Lytechinus pictus: one gene and its partner. The protein of the gene in region 1 binds, or shares a complex with, the protein of each later gene. Links are inferred from orthologs where the notes say so. Each region holds a gene or a part of one and is shown in the gene's direction. Other genes may lie near its edges.

Region 1 (10,974 bases):
CTTTTAGCTGTTCAATCACATGTACTCGGGATTTAAAGGAGAATGAAACCCTTGAAACCAGCTGAATCCATATCAAAGAGAAAAATCAAAGAAACATATTGTTGAAAGTTTGAGGAAGATTGAATGAATAATAAGAAAGTTATGAGCATTTGAATGTCGAGATCGCTAATGCCATGTAGATCTTCCTATTGGCAATGCGATCAAGACCTGTGATGTCACACACGTACAACTCCCTCATTACTTTAGTACTTATTTCACTTATATTCTCACTTTTATAGAGTCTATCACAAGGTGAGGTGTTCTCTTTATATGAGAGGACAAGTACAGAGGTTTCACAACATTATATCATTGATGAATCGTTTGTCATATGATTAGAATGAGCAAAAAGAGATGTTTTGGGGTATATTTTCAGTGTCCAAAAGGGGAGAGTTGTTCATCTGTGACATCATAGATCTTGGTCGCATTGCCAATGGGAGGATCGCCATAGCATTAGTGATCTCGACATTCAAATGCTCATAACTCTTCTATTGCTAGTCCTATTTTACTCAAACTTTTGTTGATCTTATTCTTTGATTTTTCTGCTTTCACAAAAGCTAACTTGCTCCAAGAGTTTCATTCTCCTTTAAGTTTAAAAGCTTATCTCCGTGGTACGCCACCCTTTTCCTTACTATGTTCACACGTTTCCCTCATTATATTCGACCTACGTACTGGCAAGGAGCTTGCATGCTATACTGCATCATACCCCATTCATGCAGAATGTCCCACATTTATATTTGACTCGGCCATGCAGGGACAGAACCAACCTGCTCCTGGTCCCCCCCTGTTTTGAGGGGGGAGGGGCATGTATTATCTATGACGAACATTCCCAGCTTACTTAGTATTCTAATTTGAAGAGATGTACGACCACGACGGATGGACGGAAAATGAATAGTCCATCCCATTGGGGTATGATATGTCAGCTCCTTCACGAGATCGAGTCGCCCCCCCCCCCGGTCGTCCCCACGCACACCCAAACCCCCCCCCCACACACACACACACACACACAAACAGCTGATGAATAAGAGAATAATGGTCTACCAGGCCCCCTGACATCGAGCTTCTTTGTTCCAAGGAAAGTTTAAGAACACTTAGTCCACATAATGTATATTTCTCATTAGCGCACAAACCAATGATCCAAGAAATTTAAGGTGACGTGAGTGGTAAGAGTCCCCAGATAGCAAGCAAAAATGTCGACCTTTTCAAGATAATTTTTTTGCGATAGGTTCTGACATAATTATTAAAAAATCTTACCCCTTTTCCCCTTCTTTCTCTTTCTTTCATTCCCCCCAGCGGTACCCCAATGACACAAACACACACACCCTCACACGGGCGCCTCACATATACCCCACACGCACACAAACACCTCGCACATGATCGGTAAAACTGAAGTATTTTTATTTAACATTTTAATCTAAGATGATAGAATGACAAGTGGCACACGGAAGTTATTTTGGATCAATATCATTTATGTAAATAATTACAAAACACTACATACCTCGACAAACACATACTTGTACAACACTGTTTGATTGATTGAATTACATTTGGCTTTGCAAAAAAATATAAAATGAAGTCTTGCAGTTATAATTATTATCGTATCGAACATATAAATCAATGTGAGACATCCGACGTTACAAATAAGACGCGGCAAATGATGCCATTTCGGTCTCATAAGACAAAAAAAATAGTTTATCAACTATCAATTTTATGTAATAATATCTAATTTTGCAGGATGCTATGTACAGGTAAAAAAAACCCATTACAAATATTATAATAATGATTCGTTTAAAATACATACCGCTTTCAAAACGACAGAACAGATAACTTGAACGACAAAATTATGATATCCAAGTTATTGCTCATATCAGCTCTTACCGTGAGGCGCAAGAAGATACGAAATCCACTCAATGCATTTTTCGAACAGAGCCCTCTCGCGACAAAGGCATTATATTTACTTAAACAATTTTGTTGTGGCCATCGAATTTGGAATTCAAATTTTCGATGCGATTATTATACTGATCTGTAGATATCTTTCCGTACTGATCAGCATTTATAAACCATTTACAGGAAATTGTGAGAATCTTTCGTCATCAATTATAAAGTGCAAACCTATGCAAAATGATAGTTCCAATGACTAATTTTTGTTTGAACAAAGACAAAACAAGACTGACAAAACACAATTATCTTTGAAATACTTTTTTGGGGAATACAAAATGACAGGAAAACAACTTTGGTTCTATGTTCGTTGTATAGTTTGAAGATAATCAATACTTGGTGGATGGCACTAATGGTTATGATAATAATACTCCTCTAATTGTAACAAAGTAAACCATAATTATATAAGTGCTCAATTTATGCATTATACAGTACACGCTTGTGTCCAAACTGAAACACCAATGCAGGTATAAAATTAAATGGGCAAACATCTTTCAGCCAATTTTAATGTATAACATAAATCATATACTTGTTCTTCAAGGAGTGGGACAAATAACTGGAACTGCAGGGCTTCAAGGTCTTGAGGCCATTGCAGTGAAAGTGCATGATTTAAATCACAATAAAAACAATTTAAAACAATTTGGGAAAAATATATAAAACAAACCTGTATTCCCAAAGACTCGAACTCAATATAAAGGTTTAACTTTTTTTTTAATTGGACACTCTTTTCAAAGTGTAGAGTAAGCAGGTGCTCCATTTAAGGCAAGAATGTAATTCAATGACTTTAGAGAATCAGTATCTTATGGGAAAATAGATGAATGAATTAAAAAGAAAATAAGGAGAAATCAAGAGCATTATTTTTTTGTATCTTCAAATTTAAATGACTCATTTGTTCATGTTTATTTCTTAAAGGTTAGTGGCTTATTTCAATACAAAAAGTAACTGATTTGAATCCATCATGGAAATCCATTCATCATGAGATACAGACCTGTAATGACACAGGTCCATTAAACCATTAATGCACTTCAGTCGTCTTCACTCCAGTCTTGTTCAAAGGCTGTTGGTTTATTTATGCATACCAAGTATGTCAGAAACATTGTCCATAGTAAGGCTTTACTGAAAGTTTTTTTGAAGTTTGCTGGCTCCAATTTTGTGATTAGAAGAGTGAAAATTCCCTGTTGGTTTGACTCATCTCCTTAACAAACCTGCAAAAAACACCAGAAAAAAGTTGATGTAAATTATATTATTCATTAGTATTTTGGATTATCTGTTCTTGAAGAAATAACCCAATCTCTGGAAACATAGCCCAATCAGGGTAGCCGTGCTAAAGCCAAAGTAACAGTATGCAGCGCTTAGAAACATTTGTATTAAGTGCTATATAAGTGTTGCATATTATTATCATTATTATTAAAGCATTTATCCATATATGGTTTAGTGAATGAAGTTTGGACAATAACCATCTGTTTATCTTTTGTATATACTCTTGTATAAATTGTTGTAGAGTCTGCTAAATATGAAAATGAGCTATAATTTATCTTAAGTTATAATATTTGTTAACAAAAGCTTATCACTCTCCCCTGTAAGTATCACAAATTGTACTACAAAATAAACACAAATAGAACCAACCTTAATAACCAGACAATATACATGTATGCCTATTGTGGATTCACATTACAAATCAATCCAAAAGAGCAAAACTTTAAATTCATTTTTGTTTGCTTCATCATCAAACAACCCAAAAGGACAACAAAAGTTCTCTTTTATAATTTGATAAATGGCAAGAGTGGGAGCTGGGCAGTACATACTTTGTCATTTCGCTACTGACGCATACATGTCTGGGGACATACGTCCAGGATTCTCTCTGCTTCAGTGGGACCTCTTTCTGATACCAGGAACCGGGAAGTTGAGCTGTTGTCACAGGGTTGCGGTATATATCAATGGGACCTGTAGTAAAGAAAATTTAAGTAACTTAAAAATGATTTTGTAATTATTATGACAAATGCAGGCAGGTATCCAGCATCAAATCCTACAAAGCATTTCATGGGCCCAATTGTCTGGGGGCAATAGTGAATCTATTATGCTTGTGCAAAGTCGATGCTGGATACACTAGTGAAATGTTACATATTCATGATTTACTAATATTAATTGTGTAACCTTTGAATCAAATGTGAATAAATCCTCTAATAGAGAGAGAGAAAAAAAAACCCAAATCAATGGAACCTGTCAGGATATTTGAGAGTAAATTTAATTCTCTTAGCACAATTTTCCATATGCAAACATTGTAAGTTGACCTAGTTCCATAAGCTGAATAATCCCCCGAGTCAAAGCATTTTTCAGACTGGAATATGCAATCATAATTATGTTAATACATCAGGGGCAGCAGACAAGTTTTGAAAGTGGATTGGCCGTGGGGGAGGGGGGCTGAGCCGAAAGTGGGGAGCCTGACAATGCAAAAATAAAAACACAATAAGATGGTCATTTTTACGTTTATGTACATTTTTCTGATTTAAATTTTCTTCAGTCAAACAGATTTCTACGATCCCAAGAGATTCAATTTAGGTCGATTCATCTGTGTTATCAGTAGTGGATCAAGGATAACATAAAATAGAAGGCAAAGAAAGTGGACCCATTACTATCGAAGTTCCAGCTCCTTATAAAGATGCAATTTGTCTCAGAGAATTTCAAGCAGAAAAATGGTTCTCACAACTATTCACAATTTTGGGCAAGAGAATTGAAAATGAAACACTCCCTGCCCTGAGCCTCTTGATGTGAGCCTGTTATAATTCTAAAGGGGATGAATGATATTTCAGGCACCAACAATACATTATATTGCAAGAAAAAAATGATAAGAATCATAATACTATTACGCAAAGTAGTTTGGAATGAAGTTTAGAAGCTTGTTACGAACTTTGTTTTAAATCAAAGTTTGTAACAAGCTTACATGGAAAAGACAACAAAGTAATGCATTAAGATTTTAGATTATGATAATATTAAATATAAATGGTACATGTATGCCTGTGTATGAAAATAATGATCATACAAGGATGATAATGAAGTTAATAATAACAATGATGATTATGATAATAATAATGATATAATAATAATAATAAGAACAATAATAATGTCGATGATAACGGATAATGATTGTGATGATGATAACAAAAGTATATATTTATGATAGTCGAACTCTAAGAACTGCATATATAGTATAGACTATAGATCGCATTCTTTAAATTATTGATGAAGGAATATGCTATTCTGTTTACTTCTGAAGCGCCTTGGGCACTCTACCGAGTGGATTTGGAGCTTTATTACTATTAGGGTAATTGTCATTAAATACTGCAAAAAAAAATCTAAGCAGAAAAGGAGGAATAAAATTAAAGCTCCACTACAACAAGCTCCCAGCTGGAGTGTATTACCTTTTGCACATCGTGTATGTTTGTGCAATCTCTCGGTGTATTTGACATATGATCCATGATGTTCTGGATGATCTACAGGTTCAATAACTTTGTTGTATTTGGTCATACCAATTGGTGGAAGTTTTGCAGTTTCTGGTCTGAATGATACGTACGATCCCTCCGGTACAGAGTGGGCGAGATGGTAGGAATATACCGGGTTTGGCTCTTTCACCTGTGCGCGTATAGGATATTGGTATCCCAATTCGGTGAGATTAAAGAATGACATTATTTCTGCTAGTTCAACACCGACGGTATATCCTGAAGATCACGTGAAGAACAAAAAATATTCCTGAAGAGGAAGTCTTGAAAAGCAACCTCTAAAACGCGAAAACTTTTAATTAGAGACGGGTTTCATCGAGGAAACGTTGATTTTGCATCAATAAGCGAACAGGTGCATTGCGTCTATTTCCGGGATATCCTTGGTTACGTGCATTGTTGTTATCGTCCCCTGATGGACGAGGCTGGCAAATAAGAAAATATACTTTCATATTTTCAACATTTTTGTTATAGTAATAAAATAATTTTTATTACAAAATCTGTTTAAAATTTTTAAATTTTGTTGAAGTCAGATTCTATCATGTATAGGAGTTACATTTTGATAATTTTTGGGGGGTAAGACTTTAGTGAACGAGGTTAATCATTGATTTGCTCATGGAGTCTTCTAGAATCTGCACATGAATTGGGCGTAAGACGAGTGAGAGAAATCCATTTTCATCTAGTAATCCACAAGCGAAACTTCCGTTTTTCACATAAAAATGTCTTCTCTAGGATCTCTCGCATTCGATGAATATGGTCGGCCTTTCATCATCATCAGAGATCAAGATTCAAAGTCGAGGTTAACTGGGATCGAAGCACAGAAGGTTGGTCTAATACTCGGTCCCACTCACTGACATCCGTGTCTATTTTATTTGATGAATTAAACTTTAGGAAAGGATACTTATGATTTGTTTTTAATACTTGAGGCTTTATAAATTATGCCCAGAGCAATAATAGCTTAATTTCTGCCAAATTTTATAAAATTTAACGCCACGGCACTGGCCACGGCAGTCGGTCATGTCACTCACGACTCATCATGTCGCATGAAAATTTGAAATTAAATTGATTAATATTAAATAATAACGAGTTGGACAATTCAGTGGATCCACAATACACTATACAGACAGTACAGTGCTGATCTCCAAACAGTGGAGGAACTGAAATGATAGAGAGAGATTGCGCCACTTATAGTTAGGGGCAGTGCTACAAAATTTATGGTAAAAAAGTACAAACTTGGAGTTGGAAGTTGGACGCTTACTAATATGAATATAGTTCAAGTGATTTTAATACTAATACTAATTTCAGAACAAAGTCGCGGGCAGCTGAGCGAAGATGTCCGATGTTTAAAGGAAACCAAAACCCAAGAAGAGAAGCAATCTTAGTGCGAAGAGTACTAAAATGAGAGGAACAATTTAAACAAAGTTTCATCAAAATCGGCCAATATGGGAGACTGTCTCCCATGAGATTGAGAGATTATCTCCAATAAAATATCACTATCAGAGACTTTTGTAAAGAATTTGGGTATCCAATTTCAAAGACAGTCTCCAGTTTGGGAGACCAATTTCCTTTACATTTGCTGCAAAAGGAATAAGCAGATTCCTCATGAAAAATTACCCCTGGCTTTGGCTTTTCACCGTCTACTTTAAAAATTCACCGTCTACTTTTGTTTTGATAAGGATTTTTACTGTCATCCACACACAAAAGTAACAAATGGGCTTCTGACCTGAGTGAGACAGAATTTTGGGTGGAAAAAATATGTTTTTGTTGATGCTTTTGTTGGAGTTTCTTTTGTCCTTTTGCAAAGCAAATTGAAGTCTCCAATAGGCAATATGGGAGATTGTCTCCCATATTGGAGAGTCTCCCATATTGGCCGTGCGCATCTACTGATGAAATAAGCAAGTGATGGACGTTAAAAAAAATTGTACTTTCTATGGGGATCCTCAAATTGGCAAAAGTGCTTCAAAATGGCTGATTTTGTGGACAACTCTCCATTTGTTTTTTACACAAATTTTCAGATTTTCCCTCATCTTTTCAATTGCATCTTGCCTCCTGAGCACAACATATGTCATGGGAAAATATAATTCACATCACATGTATGTCAAGGTCAGGAGGAGATAATGTGAAATTTGTAAAATAAAGGGGGAATCTGAAAATTACTCAAATGAGGAAAAAAGAGAAAAAAATCCAGGGAATTTTGATTTTTGATCTGCCAGTGGGAAGTGGTTTTCTGAGACCTTGTATACTTGCATTTTTTTCCTTACTTTGTGCATTTGATACTAAGTAAAAAGTGCCAAATACTTAAAGAGTAAGTAACCTTGCATTAAACCTTGCATTAGCAAACAATAACTAGTTACTCTCCAAAGCTTTTTGCACTTACAGGTCTATCAATCGCTCCGAGCACTCAGCAATGACTGACTTCACAAGAAAAGAAGAGCTGGAAAACCATTTTCCACTAGCAGATGGTTACTGGATTTTCTTTGCAAAGTGCTAAACCAAAAGTAAAAACGTAAGAAAAAGATGCTCCATGTTAACGCCCCATCTTGGCCTTTGTCATGGAAAGCAGATGCGTAATCATGTACTGTTCACTAAAAACAAGTCACACATGTTATTTTTAAAAAAGGAGTGTTCTCTGGGAATTATAATATGCAGCAAGGCATTTTTTTTAGCTGTAAATTTCTGGTATTTATCATTGAAAGGCTGATATTTTTTAAGGTTTTGACATGGAGATCAACATGTTTTTTTTTTCTCTTCTTTCAACAGTCTCATATTCTTGCTGCAAAGACAGTTGCAAACACATTACGAACTTCATTAGGCCCAAATGGTAAGTCTTTGTATGTATGAATTTGTTAGTGTTCTTGCCAGCAATAAAAATGTGATTACTTCAGTAACAACATCTTACATCTATAAAGTAAAAAAAACAAACTAACTTTTAGGAAAAAAAATCACTTTCACTGAGACACTTCTAAAATCCACCCTCAAGTGAAGTATTTACAGCAGCCATTCTCAATTACTTTTTTTGAAGCGCCACATTTCTTGTTAAGAATCTGTAATGCTCCACTTAGTCCACTATCCCCCGCACTATCCATTACGCAAACCAGCAATGTATCAGCGGAGGGGGTCCAGAGGCCCCTGGTGGGGGTCGAGGGGGCAGAGCCCCCAGAAGTTTTTGAATATGAGGCCTTTTAAATTGCCAACAAATGCCAACAAACTACACAATATGAATATTAAAAGAAAAATTACCAGTGACTTTTTCACAACATACCAATGATACCACTAGTTCAAACTGTTTTGCACCAGACCTATTGGCTGAAGAAAGTGGCGTAATGAGTAAAAAAAAAATGAGGGGGCAAGATATGGCAGCTGAAGCAAAAATATTGAACTTTTCAATACAAAAATCTATATTTTGACATAATATTAAGAAAATAATACAATGTTCCACTCTTTCCCTTTCCTTTTCTTTCCTATTTTCCTTTTTTTTCTTGGCCGTGAAACACTTGGGGGGCCCCCAATCCCCACCCCCATCTGTACGCCAGTGGCTGAAGTTACGTTCCCCGATTTTGCAAGGGCTGAAAATTAGGCGTTGCTCTGCACTAACGCCCCAAACTGCCCCTCTCGATAGATCTCTCTCTCTACAACTCGTGTTAAGCAAGAGTGCATGCAGGCAATCACAGCAGGCAGTACATCTGACCATACATGTATTTCACTTTTACAACTTCGGATTTTAATCGGCTCCGGAAATAAAGTTTCTGCTTGTTATGTCCCAAATTCATAATCTTTTATGATCCAGATGTACTTTGAATATCATATTATTTGATGTTTAACTCTTAACCAAAACGAATACTCTGGAAATGGAAAATTTCTCGCCGTTGAAAGAGAAATCCTACAAACAGGGTTTTCAAATCACTTGTGTGGAACATTAACTTTGTACAGCATAGAATAAATAAAAAGGAGAACATGCACCATCGACCCTCCATAATAGGGGTTATCGAGTGCTAAATTGGACAAAATTTGAGGAAATCAATTAGCAATTAAGTGTCAAGTAAAGAGTTTTTGTTTTCTCTTTGTATTAAAATGATCACCAAATCCTTATTTCCAGGTTACTGGGAGATACATTTTTTCTCACAAATTTTTCCTTATTTTTACGTTCTTTTTTTTTTATACCTGCTCCCAAGCGCCACTCCGCAAGGCTCTGATTTACAGCCAAGGTGAAAAATACATGAAGAAAGCTCACTTGTGCTGGATATGTTCCAATGTACCTTTTCTCAATCGATCAAACAGATGTCAAATGATGAAATAATCTGTCAGACTCGTGTTAAACATGTTGACAAGCTTTCTTTTTTGTCTACTTGCACGCAGGCTTGGATAAAATGCTTGTCAGCCCCGATGGTGACGTAACAGTTACTAATGATGGTGCCACCATTTTGGACAAGATGGATGTAGACCATCAAATAGCCAAGCTCATGGTTCAACTCGCAAAGTCACAAGATGATGAGATTGGTGACGGTACCACAGGTGTCGTCGGTAAGTACCGTCATTCAGTATATTTTTATGAAGCTCAAGGTGGTTAGTTTTGCAGACTGTGCAAAACCAAGGGTTGTTGAAACACTCTTTAGTGAGCTAAATTTCCTGACCACTATAGCTGAAAAAGAATTATGTGGTCAAGCTTCTTCGATATTTGTGGATTATCTCATGTAGATTCAACTTGTGATAAATTCGTCTCAAGGACACCTGGTTGAAAAAAGGTCAATCCACACAAGAAAAATGTTGATTTGAATATCAGAGAAAAATTAAACAAGCATGTTGAACTCTAAAAATTTCATCGAAATCGAATGTAATACAAGGAAGTTAGATTTTTTTTTCACTTAATTTTTGCAAAATGGTTATATGCACAAGTCCGTGATATTTAAATGAGAGAGTCACTTATGTCCCTCACTATTTATTTTGTTTTTCTTCATATGAATCTTACAATAGTTAGAATTTTTTCAGAGTTACAAAAAGGACCAACTTGATTGGACCACAAAATTTGAAAATGATGGTAATTCCACATGTTCGGGGAGGAATAATTTTTTTCATAAATGACAATGAGGAGAAAATGAATTTATTGCATATAGTGAGTGGGTGATGTCATCATTCCGTTCATTTGCATACCGACCAGCATGTGATCATATATAAGTTTTGTCAAATTAAGCGAACTTTGAAATGTCATATCTTTCTAATTTTACATCCAATCTTGATGAAATTTTAAGTGTTTTTGTTGGATATTTTTTTTAAAGAAAATAAACACTTTTGTTGGGGTGGACTTGTCATTTAAAGTGCCACTTAGGGCAAACTACAAAGAATTTGATGTTTTGAAAGTAGTTGCATGTTCTCAGGTGGATCAGTTTACATGTGAATATTTTTACCTGTAGTTAGTAGTTGTTTACGGGCAAGTATGATGACTAGCACTGGGCTATGATCAGCCTCTGATTCCAAAACGTGCTTTGTGGGTTCTGACAAAACTCACTTT
Region 2 (11,383 bases), on another chromosome or scaffold:
TCGCGCGCCCTCTTTAGACGAAAATTGATATCTACGCTGACCAAATTTTATCTCCGTGAAATCTTCACTAAAGATCAAGAAAATATACATATTTTTAAGAAAAACTTCAAGGAGAAGTCACGGAAGGATCTAAATGATTCGGTAAGTGTCATAGCAGAATGTGAAATACCAGATTATTGGTGATATTTTATGTGGGCAAAAGCTCACTATCTTTTTGACTTGTCATGTGTGTCGCGTGCATATGACTGATATTCCTTCGCACGCGAGATGATATGAACCCATGGGTGAGTCAGTAGAGGCGCACGGCCAATATGGGAGACTCTCCAATAGGGTAGACAATCTCCCACATTAAAGACTTGCTTTGCAAAAGGACAAAAGAAACAACACCAACAAAAGCATGATTTTTTCCACCCAAAATTTTGTCTCACAGGTCAGAAGCCCATTTGTTTTGTGTGTGATTGACAACAAAAATCCTTATCAAAACAAAAGTAGGCGGTGAATTTTTAAAGTAGATGGTGAAAAGGGGTAATTTTTCATGAGGAATCTGCTTATCACATTTTTATTTGCCGCCAAGGTAATCCTTTTGCAGCAAATGTAAACAAAGGAAATTGGTCTCCAAAACTGGAGACTGTCTCTGAAATTGGATACCCAAATTCTTTACAAAAGTCTCTGATATTGGAGATAATCTCCCACATTGGAGACAGTCTCCAATATTGGCCGTGCGCCTCTACTGTAAGTCACCTCTCTAATCTATATGTGTGTGCACTCGTGTATGATTGATGCCTGGGGCTGGGGTGACCATAATTTGCGCACATTTTAAAAATCATCATGAAGTTGATTTTCAATCAAGAAATTCTCACAGTTCACACAAAATTAATCAAAAAAATCATAAATACCAGATGGAAGGCAAGATCCCAAAGTCAAATTCGCTTGAGGGAATTTCAAAGTAGGTCAAGGGTTTCGCTGGTATCGCAATCTCAAAATTCCATGACAATCGACTATTCCTCGTTAGGCTGAAAAAATATGAAAAAGTGTAACCTTAATTTGCGCACGATGGTTTTGCAAAGATTTAGAAAAGAAATCGAACAGAAAAAGGTATGGCAAGTTCCCACCAATCTGCGCAGTCCCCCTTGTCTGCGCACACGCGTATCTGCGTGATTCTAGTAAAAGAAGATATGCAACAAGCACAAACTTTACACATGCAATACATAGACAGACATTCATTTAAAAATCCGAATCAAAATGGTGGAAAATAATTAATTTGGGGCATTCCATGTGACGGCCTCAAAATGCAGCCTTTTTTAATCAAAATCCCCGAATCGTGTGCAAAGTGAATGGGTGCGCAGACATGGGGTACCATTTTTTTTTTCAATCTGAAAACGAGTGCCCGAGGTTTTTTCCAAGAAAATGCTATATTTCTTTCAAATTTGTATGAGATATTTGGTACACTTTGGTACACAAATAAAAAGAAATTCATGTTAAATCTTAACTCAAATTGTTAGGTGCGCAGACTTGGGGACCACCATCATAAGATAATTGTATGGAAGTTGAAATGCCATAAATTCGGTTGGTATCACATCTTACTTCTTTGGAGACCTCTGCTTGCAAACTGCCGATTTCTTGATGCTTATGGAGAAGTTCGGATTTTCTCGGAGCAGACGTAAAAGGTAACAAAGTTTGCCAATGTTCTGCCAATATTTTCACAAACTGAGAACCTACCTTCATACTAGGTAATTTTTGGTCGCTTTTTCTGTTAGTGATATCAGTTTTTCAAGGTTTTCATTATATATTGAGCATCGAGCAGGAAAAAATAATTGTTTTTTTTTCGGGGGCTCCATTTTCAATTTTTGTAAAATTTCGGGGGCTCCATTTCTACCTTTCGGGCGCTCTTTTCAAATGCTACTTTTTTGTATTTTGAGGAATACCTGTTCACTTATTAATAGGAGTGGGCTATACATGGGTCAAAAATACTTTTTTTGTAATTTCAATATGACAACAGTTTTTTTTTATTCCTTGTAATGTATCTCAACATGAAATGACAATATTTTTTGTCTCGGGTCCGAGAAAAAAGTGTGCCGGGCCAAAATCCAAAATGGCCGCCAAAACCCCCCAAAATCACAGTTTTGGCCACAACTATTTTATTTGGTGGTCAATTTCTCTGGTTTTGGTGTCTATTCATATGTTTTTGGGGGCAGGCAATTTGTTTTTCCTAGAATTAGTACTTTTAAACCATTATTTGTAGAGTTAAAAGGTAATTTTACCTAAATTTTCCCATTTTTGTAACCTTTTTTCAGCCAAAAAGTAGGTTTTATCATCCTGGGGTTCTGGGATATTAGATGGTATGAGGTCAACAATAGCAAGCAGCTTCATATTGCTATATTGCTTTTATTCCTCCACTTTGGGTTTTACGGATATTTGTGAAATATATCTTATTAAATAAAAAAATGTCAATTATCCATTGGGGCTGTACAGTATACAATCTACTGTACATACATACTGCACTGCATAAATGCATTGGCCACCATGACAGATAACAAGGCTTGTATAAACTATAGTGTCATAGAAATGAGCTCTCAGGTTTAGAATGAGATGCCTCAGAAATTGAAGATATGTTTTGTGTCAGAAATTGAGGACATGTTTTGTCAAATATGCTAATTCAGGGCCGGGGGCGGAGAGAGGTAATTTACACTGAACATTGCTATTCTGGGCCCCGTTGCATAAAAATTTACCATTATGTTAACTTAACTTAATGGTAACTTGCATGCAATCCTTGATTCTGATTGGCTGTTGATCAGCGTTACCATGATACTAGTAGTTACCTGACCCCATAAACATAGGCCAGTTAGACACCAGAACCAGGTTTAAAAAAAAGCCTCCAAATGAAGAAGATATGGCTAAAAATGTGATGTACATGTACGTATATATATATACATGTATGTGATATTTACATGTAAGTGTAATTTACGTTGCTGGTTTCACCATGTACATCAGCTGACAAGGAATCAAATTCACAATCTAATTCTAAACCTTTGAAGCTCATTTCTATGACACTATAGTTTATATACAGGCCTTGACATATGCCATGGTGGTCAATGCATGGATATATGCAGTGTAGTATGTACAGTGCATTGTACATGTACACCGTATAGCCCCTATGGATAAATGACATTTTCTTTTATTTGATAAGATATATTTCACAAATATCCGTAAAACCCAAAGTGGAGGAATAAAAGCAATATATAGCTATATGAAGCTGCTTGCTATTGTTGACCTCGTACCATCTAATATACCATAACCCCAGGATGATAAAACCTACTTTTTGGCTGAAAAAAAGGCTACAAAAATGGGAAAATTTAGGTATAATTACCTTTTAACTCTACAAATAATGGTTTAAAAGTACTAATTATAGGAAAAACAAATTGCCTGCCCCCAAAACATATGAATAGACACCAAAACCAGAGAAATTGACCACCAAATAAAAAAGTTGTGGCCAAAACTGTGATTTTGGGGGGTTTTGGCGGCCATTTTGGATTTTGGCCCGGCACACTTTTTTCTCGGACCCGAGACAAAAAATATTGTCATTTCATGTTGAGATAAGGTAAAAGGAACACAAAAAAACTGTTCCCACAGTAAAACCAAAAATCACCCATTTATAGCCCACTCCTATTATTAATGAATTATTACTTATTTAATATTGTATGATTTTTTAAGTCAACTGTGAGTTGAACTTGGATATAAATGAATTCAATATCTAATTTCTACTCCATCTATTCCAGTACAATAACCTGTACTTGGCCATGTTATAAAGTCCCACATACCCTAACTTTTCCTGAAGTTCTTTGAAAACGCAGATCTCCACGAAAATTGCATTTCTCTATGGGGGAGTCTAAATTTGGTGAGAATGAACTCATTAATAACTTAAATATACATGACAATGACGAAATCATCAAACTTTATTGGCAGTTTTTAATAATATACCCGAAATGTAAACTCTGTCTGAAACAGAGATTCACCATCATTGAGGCCTTTACTGAGCGAATTGTCCCCCAGAGCTCAGGCAGAGAGACAGAGCTCAGACTGGCTAGCTAGTACACGCGCCAATGCCGGCGTGCATGAGCCTCCCGCCGGCCTTGTAAAATAGATGGAGCTTTGTTTGATGATTTATTGTCTGATATTTACCTCATCCCTAGAAAAATAAAACAAATGATTTTTAAGTAATAATCAAATAAGGTAAGTTATTTTGGATGTTAATAGGCCGTTTTGAAAAGCAAAGCCGAATGACAACTCGTCAATGCGAGGTTAGTAGACTCTGGGATTTATTTCCTGTGTAATTCGAATTATTTTATCACAGAATTGTGATATATGTAGGGGAAAATGTGCATTAGAAATTGCACATGGTGGCAGTCATAATGGACCCCTATACATGCAACCGTTTCCCGACCGTTACGTTTATTTTTTTTTTCATACCATGTGTATGGAAAAACGTGGTACAGAAAAAAAGACGCAACTTTGGAATTTGAAACTGTGCTCCTCGTTACTTTCAAGGCTTGTTCATGATTTTGAGTATGGTTTTTTGATTATTTTTAAATGGTAAGCGGAGCTCGAGCATATGGCGCTCGTGGGCCGCTGAGTTGTTATCGCTCGGCAATAATTTCGGGGTGACATTAAGATTTTATTTGGCCCCGAAAGCATGATTTTGGGTGATTTCGAGGGCGACTTTAGGCATTTCCGGGGCGAATTCGCCCGCCCCCCCCCCCCCCCCCCCTCCGTGTATTTTTTTCGCTGATATTGAGATATTCGACCGTGCAAATTTAGGTAACGCGCGAATTAAGGTCACACCACCATACAAAGTCAATGGGAGTTGAAAGAAGTCACCAGCGCTGACGAAATAAACGGCAGTGAATGGACTGGTGACTTAAACCAGGATTATGCCAAACAAATGAGAAAAATATGAAAAGACGGGGAAAAATTGCCGCAATGTTTACGTCACCATCTTGTTCTCTTTTGTTTTCGCCAAGCTACAAGACGCATATCAATTATTTGCGTCTTGTATCTTGGCGGAAAACAAAAGAGAAAGCTTAGCTTTAGTGAGTGCACCATAGAAACATTAAATTATGAACATATATTAAAAGAAAACAAACATTTGAGAATCGGGTAATCCGTAAAGAACGCTATTACAGTATGATAATCCATTTTATTGGTAAAAACAAGCATGAACAATATTTTTCATGCTGTCCTGGCAAGGCTCCACATTAACTTTTTTTGGTGGTGGCCCGTTCGGGCCACCAAAACCTTCATATAATATTTTTTGGTGGCCTGATATGACAGTTTGGTGGCCCGAAAAAAAAAAACATTAAAAATGAATAAAAGACATTTCTAAAATATTAATTCTGCATCCAGCACGACCACCAAGTTACTTTCACTTTGTACATCTTGTTTTTAAACCTTGCTACTGTTATTATATTTTGCAAATTGATTTGTGGTAAAGTTCTTTCATTGTAAATATGAAATGATTTAAAGGTAATAAATGAATTGTATTATTCCCAGGTTGTGAGGACTTTTTTCTTTGATCTACATACATGTATAGACAATTAGACATACACTCATAATGGTAACTTGATACAAATTAACAGTTCCTTTCTTCCTCTTTGAATTCCAAAACCTAAAGTATGCCCCCAAAGTGTGTGTATTTGTGTGTAAATCTTAGAAAAAGTCGCATGACGAACTGGCTTGCAAATTGAACTGTAGAAAGTTGATAAATGCGTGAAAAATTGCGCTACTTTAAAGATTATTGGTTGCCCGATTCGGGCCACCAAAACTTAGCATTTATCAATTATGGTTGCCTGAGGTAAATTTTTGGTGGCCCTGGGCCACTGCTAATGTCGAGCCTTGGTCCTGGTAACAAAATACAAATGTCTCAAATTATAGGTCATGAAATAAGCAGATCTTTAAATATTCTTGATTCTTTTTTTAATTGAGTACTCGAAGAATGCACCAAGTTTTCTGGCAATATCGGATGGAGTTCTGACCGAGTCACCAACAATGAACTGTGGCCCCCAAATTTCAAAACCTGACATGGTATACCAATGACCAACAATTATTCAGTTTTCTTGTCATTCAGCATTAAATATTTTTGGAGCATCCATATTTATGCCACTTATTCTTCTTATGAGCACCATTTTGTGGCACATTTGGAGAAAAGGATTAAATACAATTGCGTGTTGTCTTCGTAGCAGTGGCAATTGATACTTGGAAAGTCCTTTATCAAAAATTAAGTCTGCTTACATTAATACATTATATTAGTTGTTTCCACATATTTGAGATTCACCAAAAGGAAGCTTGCTTGATCTTCCCTTTGACTTCCTGTTGGTCTTTTCTTTCTACTTGTAGGTACTGCAAAACTTGATGATATAATAAGGCAGTTGTGATCAACGAAAAATCATGAATAAAGGTCCTTGTCATCCTGATCAGTAAGAGTGATATTGAAGGCTTGAACTAATTGGAAGAGACAAGAGAGTAAAAAGGAACTCTATAGAATGCAGTCAAATGAGGATGCAGCCTCGAGTAGGAAATCTGCCGCAGCAGCCCTGACCGAAAGACACCGCGGAGAATGGATGGGCGCAGGCGACCCTGAGAGTGCCTCTGTCTTCCACCATATTCGAAGCAGAACAATCGGACATGCGAAGCACCGGAGGAAGGTTATCTGTAACCTGACCACCCGCAGACTTCCCCACGTGCTCTCGGAGCGGGAGATTCCAGTTGGCGAAATCAATAAGATCTTTGCTTCGGAATGGATTTCAGATCATCAAGTAGTCATTGGAACCAAGTGCAATAGAGTGAGTGACATCCCTCTGTATTCCCTGTACGCACAATGTGATCATCCCAATCAGGTCTTTTACATATTCCACTATCTAAAAAATCCTGGGGTTATCAAGCCTTTGCTCATGCCAGACCAGCCCTGTGGAATTCACTAGCACAGGAGCTTAAGAACTCAAATATAAATTTTCTGCATATATTGAAGAATGTCCAATGCCGATGCTCACTTATCATATTGCGCCAAATTGATGCCTGTTGCCTGGTTTTCCACGCTATTTCATTCATGAGTCAACTGTTTTGAATTAATGAGTCCACTCTTCAAAACAGTAGACTCATGAATAAAATATCATGCTCAGTGACTGGAACAGGCATCAATTTAGTAAACAGTGACAAAAGTGTGCATCAGCATGGGACATTGTTTATTATACGGGGGGAATTAAGCATAATTTATGAAAGAAATCTGCCTTAATAAAATAAGGCTCCACACTTACTTTTTTTCTCGGTGGCCCGACCAATTTCATATTTTTGGTAGCCTGCAAAGCAAATTTTGTGGCCCTAAGACAATAGAAAACATTACAATTTATCAAAACTTTGGTAGCTATATGAAGCTGCTTGCTATTGTTGACCTCGTACCATCTAATATCCCAGAACCCCAGGATGATAAAACCTACTTTTTGGCTGAAAAAAGGCTACAAAAATGGGTAAATTTAGGTATAATTACCTTTTAACTCTACAAATAATGGTTTAAAAGTACTAATTATAGGAAAAACAAATTGCCTGCCCCCTAAAACATATGAATAGACACCAAAACCAGAGAAATTGACCACCAAATAAAAATGTTGTGGCCAAAACTGTGATTTTGGGGGGTTTTGGCGGCCATTTTGGATTTTGGCCCGGCACACTTTTTCTCGGACCCGAGACAAAAAATATTGTCATTTCATGTTGAGATACATTACAAGGAATGAAAAAAAACTGTTGTCATATTGAAATTACCCCGTATAGCCCACTCCTATTATCATGAGAGGCTTTTAGGTATACCACTTTTTCCCCAAAACACATTTACATTGCAAGATGAGACAGGCTGCGAGTGATGATTGAAAAACTAAAGAAATATTAAACTGAGTGATCTATCCCAAGTCTAGAGAAGAATAAGAATTAATCAGTAGTTCTTTACAAGGTTTTACTCACTATGAAAGAGAAACAGATTTAAATGCACTGGTTATACACTGCTCGATCAATCTCTCAGGATTTAATGCAAATTAGTGATGCAAATGAATGAGGTCACAATAAGGGTGCAACATGTACATGCGTCTTGTAAAAACTTTTTCCTTTGCTAGTTGATGGCGTTAGACTTGAACCTCAACCACCAAGTATCCATCCCGATGCTCCGTAGTCTCCCAAGCAAAAAGCCAGAGACATTACCAATGAACAACAGTGGTATCCACAGCATATCCATCAACCCCAGCGGTACCCTCCTAGCGACAGGGGCAGACAACCCAAACAACATTGGTGTATACCAGTTACCCACGTTTGATCCCGTCTGCGTAGGGCAGGTAAGTCACAAATTTTACAGTTTTTGTCTCACCTGCATAGCAGAGTGAGACGCTTTTCCGACGGCGGAGGCGGCGTCAACACCAAATCTTAACCCAAGGTTAAGTTTTTGAAATGACAGCATAACTTAGAAAGTATATGGACCTAGTTCATGAAACTTGGCCAAAAGGTTAATCAAGTATTACTGAACATCCTGCCTGAGTTTCAGGTCACATAACCAAGGTCAAAGGTCATTTAGGGTCAATGAACTTTGGCCAAATTGGGGGTATCTGTTGAATTACCATCATAACTTTGAATGTTTATGAATCTGATTCATGAAACTTGAACATAAGAGTAATCAAGTATCGCTGAACATCCTGTGCAAGTTTCAGGTCACATGATTAAGGTCAAAGGTCATTTAAGGTCAATGAACTTTGGCCAAGTTGGGGGTATTTGTTGAATTACCATCATTACTTTGAAAGTTTATTGGTCTAGTTCATAAAACTTAGACATAAGAGTAATCAAGTATCATTGAACATCCTGTGCGCATTTCAGGTCACATGACCAAGGTCAAAGGTCAATGAACTTTGGCCATAATGGGGGTATCTGTTGAATTACCATCATAACTTTGAAAGGTTATGGATCTGATTCATGAAACTTGGACATAAGAGTAATCAAGTATCACTGAACATCCTGTGCAAGTTTCGTGTCACATGATCAAGGTCAAAGGTCATGTAAGGTCATTGAACTTTGGCCATTTTAGAGGTAATTATTAGATTGCTGTCATTACTTTCAAATAAAATGTGGATATAGGGGTAATCAAGTTTCACTGACAAGTTTTAGGTCACATGATCAAGGTCAAATGTCAATGAACGTAGTATTGTTTCATTATATGAATGGTGTTTTTTGTGAATAATTATTTGATAGTAGTTTTCAAAGTCAGCTCTGCTGCTATATTGAATCGCATGATGCAGGTGAGACGGCCAGAGGCATTCCACTTGTTTTAAATATTTTTGGCGCATCAGTGCACCTTTGTTCAATAGCTGTTCATTCAGATATGCTGCGACAAAATCAGCATCATTTTTTTGTCCAAGTCAATGAGATACCAGGCGTTCAGAAGTCAGTTCTGTATAATCTTGATGTGGAGACCATACATACATGTACATGTAGATTGACTACAGTATGCTGCAATTGTTGTTCATGTAGATTGTGCATTTGCAGTGGTATTGATGTTGCAAGTTCAGCCTTCATAAGCCTTTCTTTCAACAAACTCAGGGGGAGTCCGGGCTGATTTGAAGTTTTGAACCATATCAAGATATCAACCAAAACATCTGCATCGAGGAATAAATTTCCTGTTATCACATCGCAATTGGCTCCCCATTTTATTTATTTATTTCTATTTTTTACTGCAACACTACAAAGTTTTAAATTTTTACATAGGATTGTACAGAGCATACCTGTAGTTGCAAATTTGTATCTAACAATCAGAAATGTTAAATCAAATTTGAGAAGTGACATTATTCCCTGTGCAAGTGTGCATGTTGTTACTACCCCAAATGTTAATTGGTAGTAATTTATTCTACCTTTTTTTCTTCTTCAGAATTGCCACAAGGACTGGATGTTCTCAGTTGTATGGTTAGATGACCAATACTTAGTTGCAGGTAAGTGCATGGGGCATCTTTGTGAATCTTCTTTGAAGCATTTGTAGAGAAAGTGATTTTCCAATTACAAAAGTGTCTTTTCCCGTTCCTGGAAAGCTGTAATTCTGTTTCAAACTTGATCTAAAATAAAACTTCCTTTTTGACATAGTATTGTAAATGTGCACCGTAAAAACAGAAATTCTGTTTTGAAAAGGTAAATTGAGTAAATTTGCTCATGCAAAGTAAAGAACAAAAAAAAATTATGTTTTGGTTTACAGGTAATATGAAAATAGCTGTCCCTGTATCGTAGGTCTTATACAGATGAATGGTCTTATGCGAATGTAAATTTTTTTTTATTATCATTATGGAGTATGTTTGATTGCGAATGAAAGGTATTTACATGTACAGTACATATAAACTGCCGAGTGTTCCATAAAGCTGTTTCTAAGCTATACGCTACTTTACAAATGACTGAAGATCTGGGTCCTTTTTCATAAAGACTTGTTATAATAATAAATGCACAGCATCTATAACAGGTTTCCTATCAGCCAAAGAAATTAAATGATATAAGTAGCTTTAAATTGTTACTGCTAAGTTGATATTATAACCTGTTTTATGAAATGGGTCCCAGCTCTTGTGCTTTTTTATATGCCCCAAATTTATTTTGTTTTTTTTATAATGTAGTGGGTGTGAATTACCTTTAGATAGACCTTTCATTCAAATGCTATTATTGTAATCTAGATCAGATTTCAACTGATGAATAAAATGATTTAGAATCTGATCTTGCAGCAAAGAACAAGTCATTCTGTGTAGGTGCTTTGATTATATTTTGATACTATTGTCACATCGTGCAGTCGTCATTACGTTTTTTTTCTATCAATTTGAATTGTCGATAACCAGGTTCAAGAGATTCGCAGCTTTCTATCTGGTCTGTCAGTCAAGAACTGTGTGACCGGGTCCAAGACACCAACGAAACAGCCACAGTGCCATCCTACGAATCCATCTTCCCCATTGGGTTACGGTCTAGTGAGAGAAATGAGAAAGTAAGGGCCTTGGAATACAGCCCGCAAACGAAGGTGAGCATACGGTGTCCCTTCCTTAATCCTTGTGGAACTTCATGGGTGCAGAAAAAATTACAGTGGGCACGGGGTGATATTGTCCCAAAACGCCCAAAAGAGGCTTGGGAAATTTTTTTTAAATGCCCAGAAAATCCCCATTCACTGCAATGTTAAAGGGATGGTCTGGGCTGAAAATATTTATATCTAAATTAATAGAGTAGAATTCAGAGAGCAAAATGCTGAAAATTTCATCAAAATCGGATAACAAATAACGAAGTTATTGAATTTTAAAGTTTATCAATATTTTGTGAAAACAGTTATATGCACATCGTCATGAAT

What was found.
Region 2: the proteins of T-complex protein 1 subunit epsilon-like (region 1) and DDB1- and CUL4-associated factor 12-like are in contact, whole or in part, in a cryo-EM structure (PDB 8AJM), measured with the Homo sapiens proteins. The link is inferred for Lytechinus pictus from reciprocal best matches to the Homo sapiens genes CCT5 and DCAF12. Residues at the interface, in NP_036205.1 of Homo sapiens: Gly537, Glu538, Ser539, Glu540, Glu541; in NP_056212.1 of Homo sapiens: Lys91, Phe93, Lys108, His144, Trp186, Phe188, Arg203, Lys254, Arg256, Glu298, Val300, Arg344, Phe411, Tyr422, Leu440, Pro441, Ser442, Gly443.

What each region holds. Positions count from the first base shown.
Region 1 is NC_087247.1:6,976,618-6,987,591, reverse strand, and holds the start of T-complex protein 1 subunit epsilon-like, read left to right. Parts: upstream 1-5,857; 5' UTR 5,858-6,187; coding exon 6,188-6,292; intron 6,293-8,228; coding exon 8,229-8,289; intron 8,290-9,824; coding exon 9,825-9,989; intron 9,990-10,974. Other genes in the region: sperm microtubule inner protein 11-like, read right to left, coding at 3,131-3,179, 3,780-3,918, 5,394-5,658. UniProt on the Homo sapiens protein: Component of the chaperonin-containing T-complex (TRiC), a molecular chaperone complex that assists the folding of actin, tubulin and other proteins upon ATP hydrolysis.
Region 2 is NC_087249.1:18,254,473-18,265,855, forward strand, and holds the start of DDB1- and CUL4-associated factor 12-like, read left to right. Parts: upstream 1-6,389; 5' UTR 6,390-6,536; coding exon 6,537-6,836; intron 6,837-8,153; coding exon 8,154-8,369; intron 8,370-9,946; coding exon 9,947-10,007; intron 10,008-10,886; coding exon 10,887-11,062; intron 11,063-11,383. UniProt on the Homo sapiens protein: Substrate-recognition component of a DCX (DDB1-CUL4-X-box) E3 ubiquitin-protein ligase complex of the DesCEND (destruction via C-end degrons) pathway, which recognizes a C-degron located at the extreme C terminus of target proteins, leading to their ubiquitination and degradation.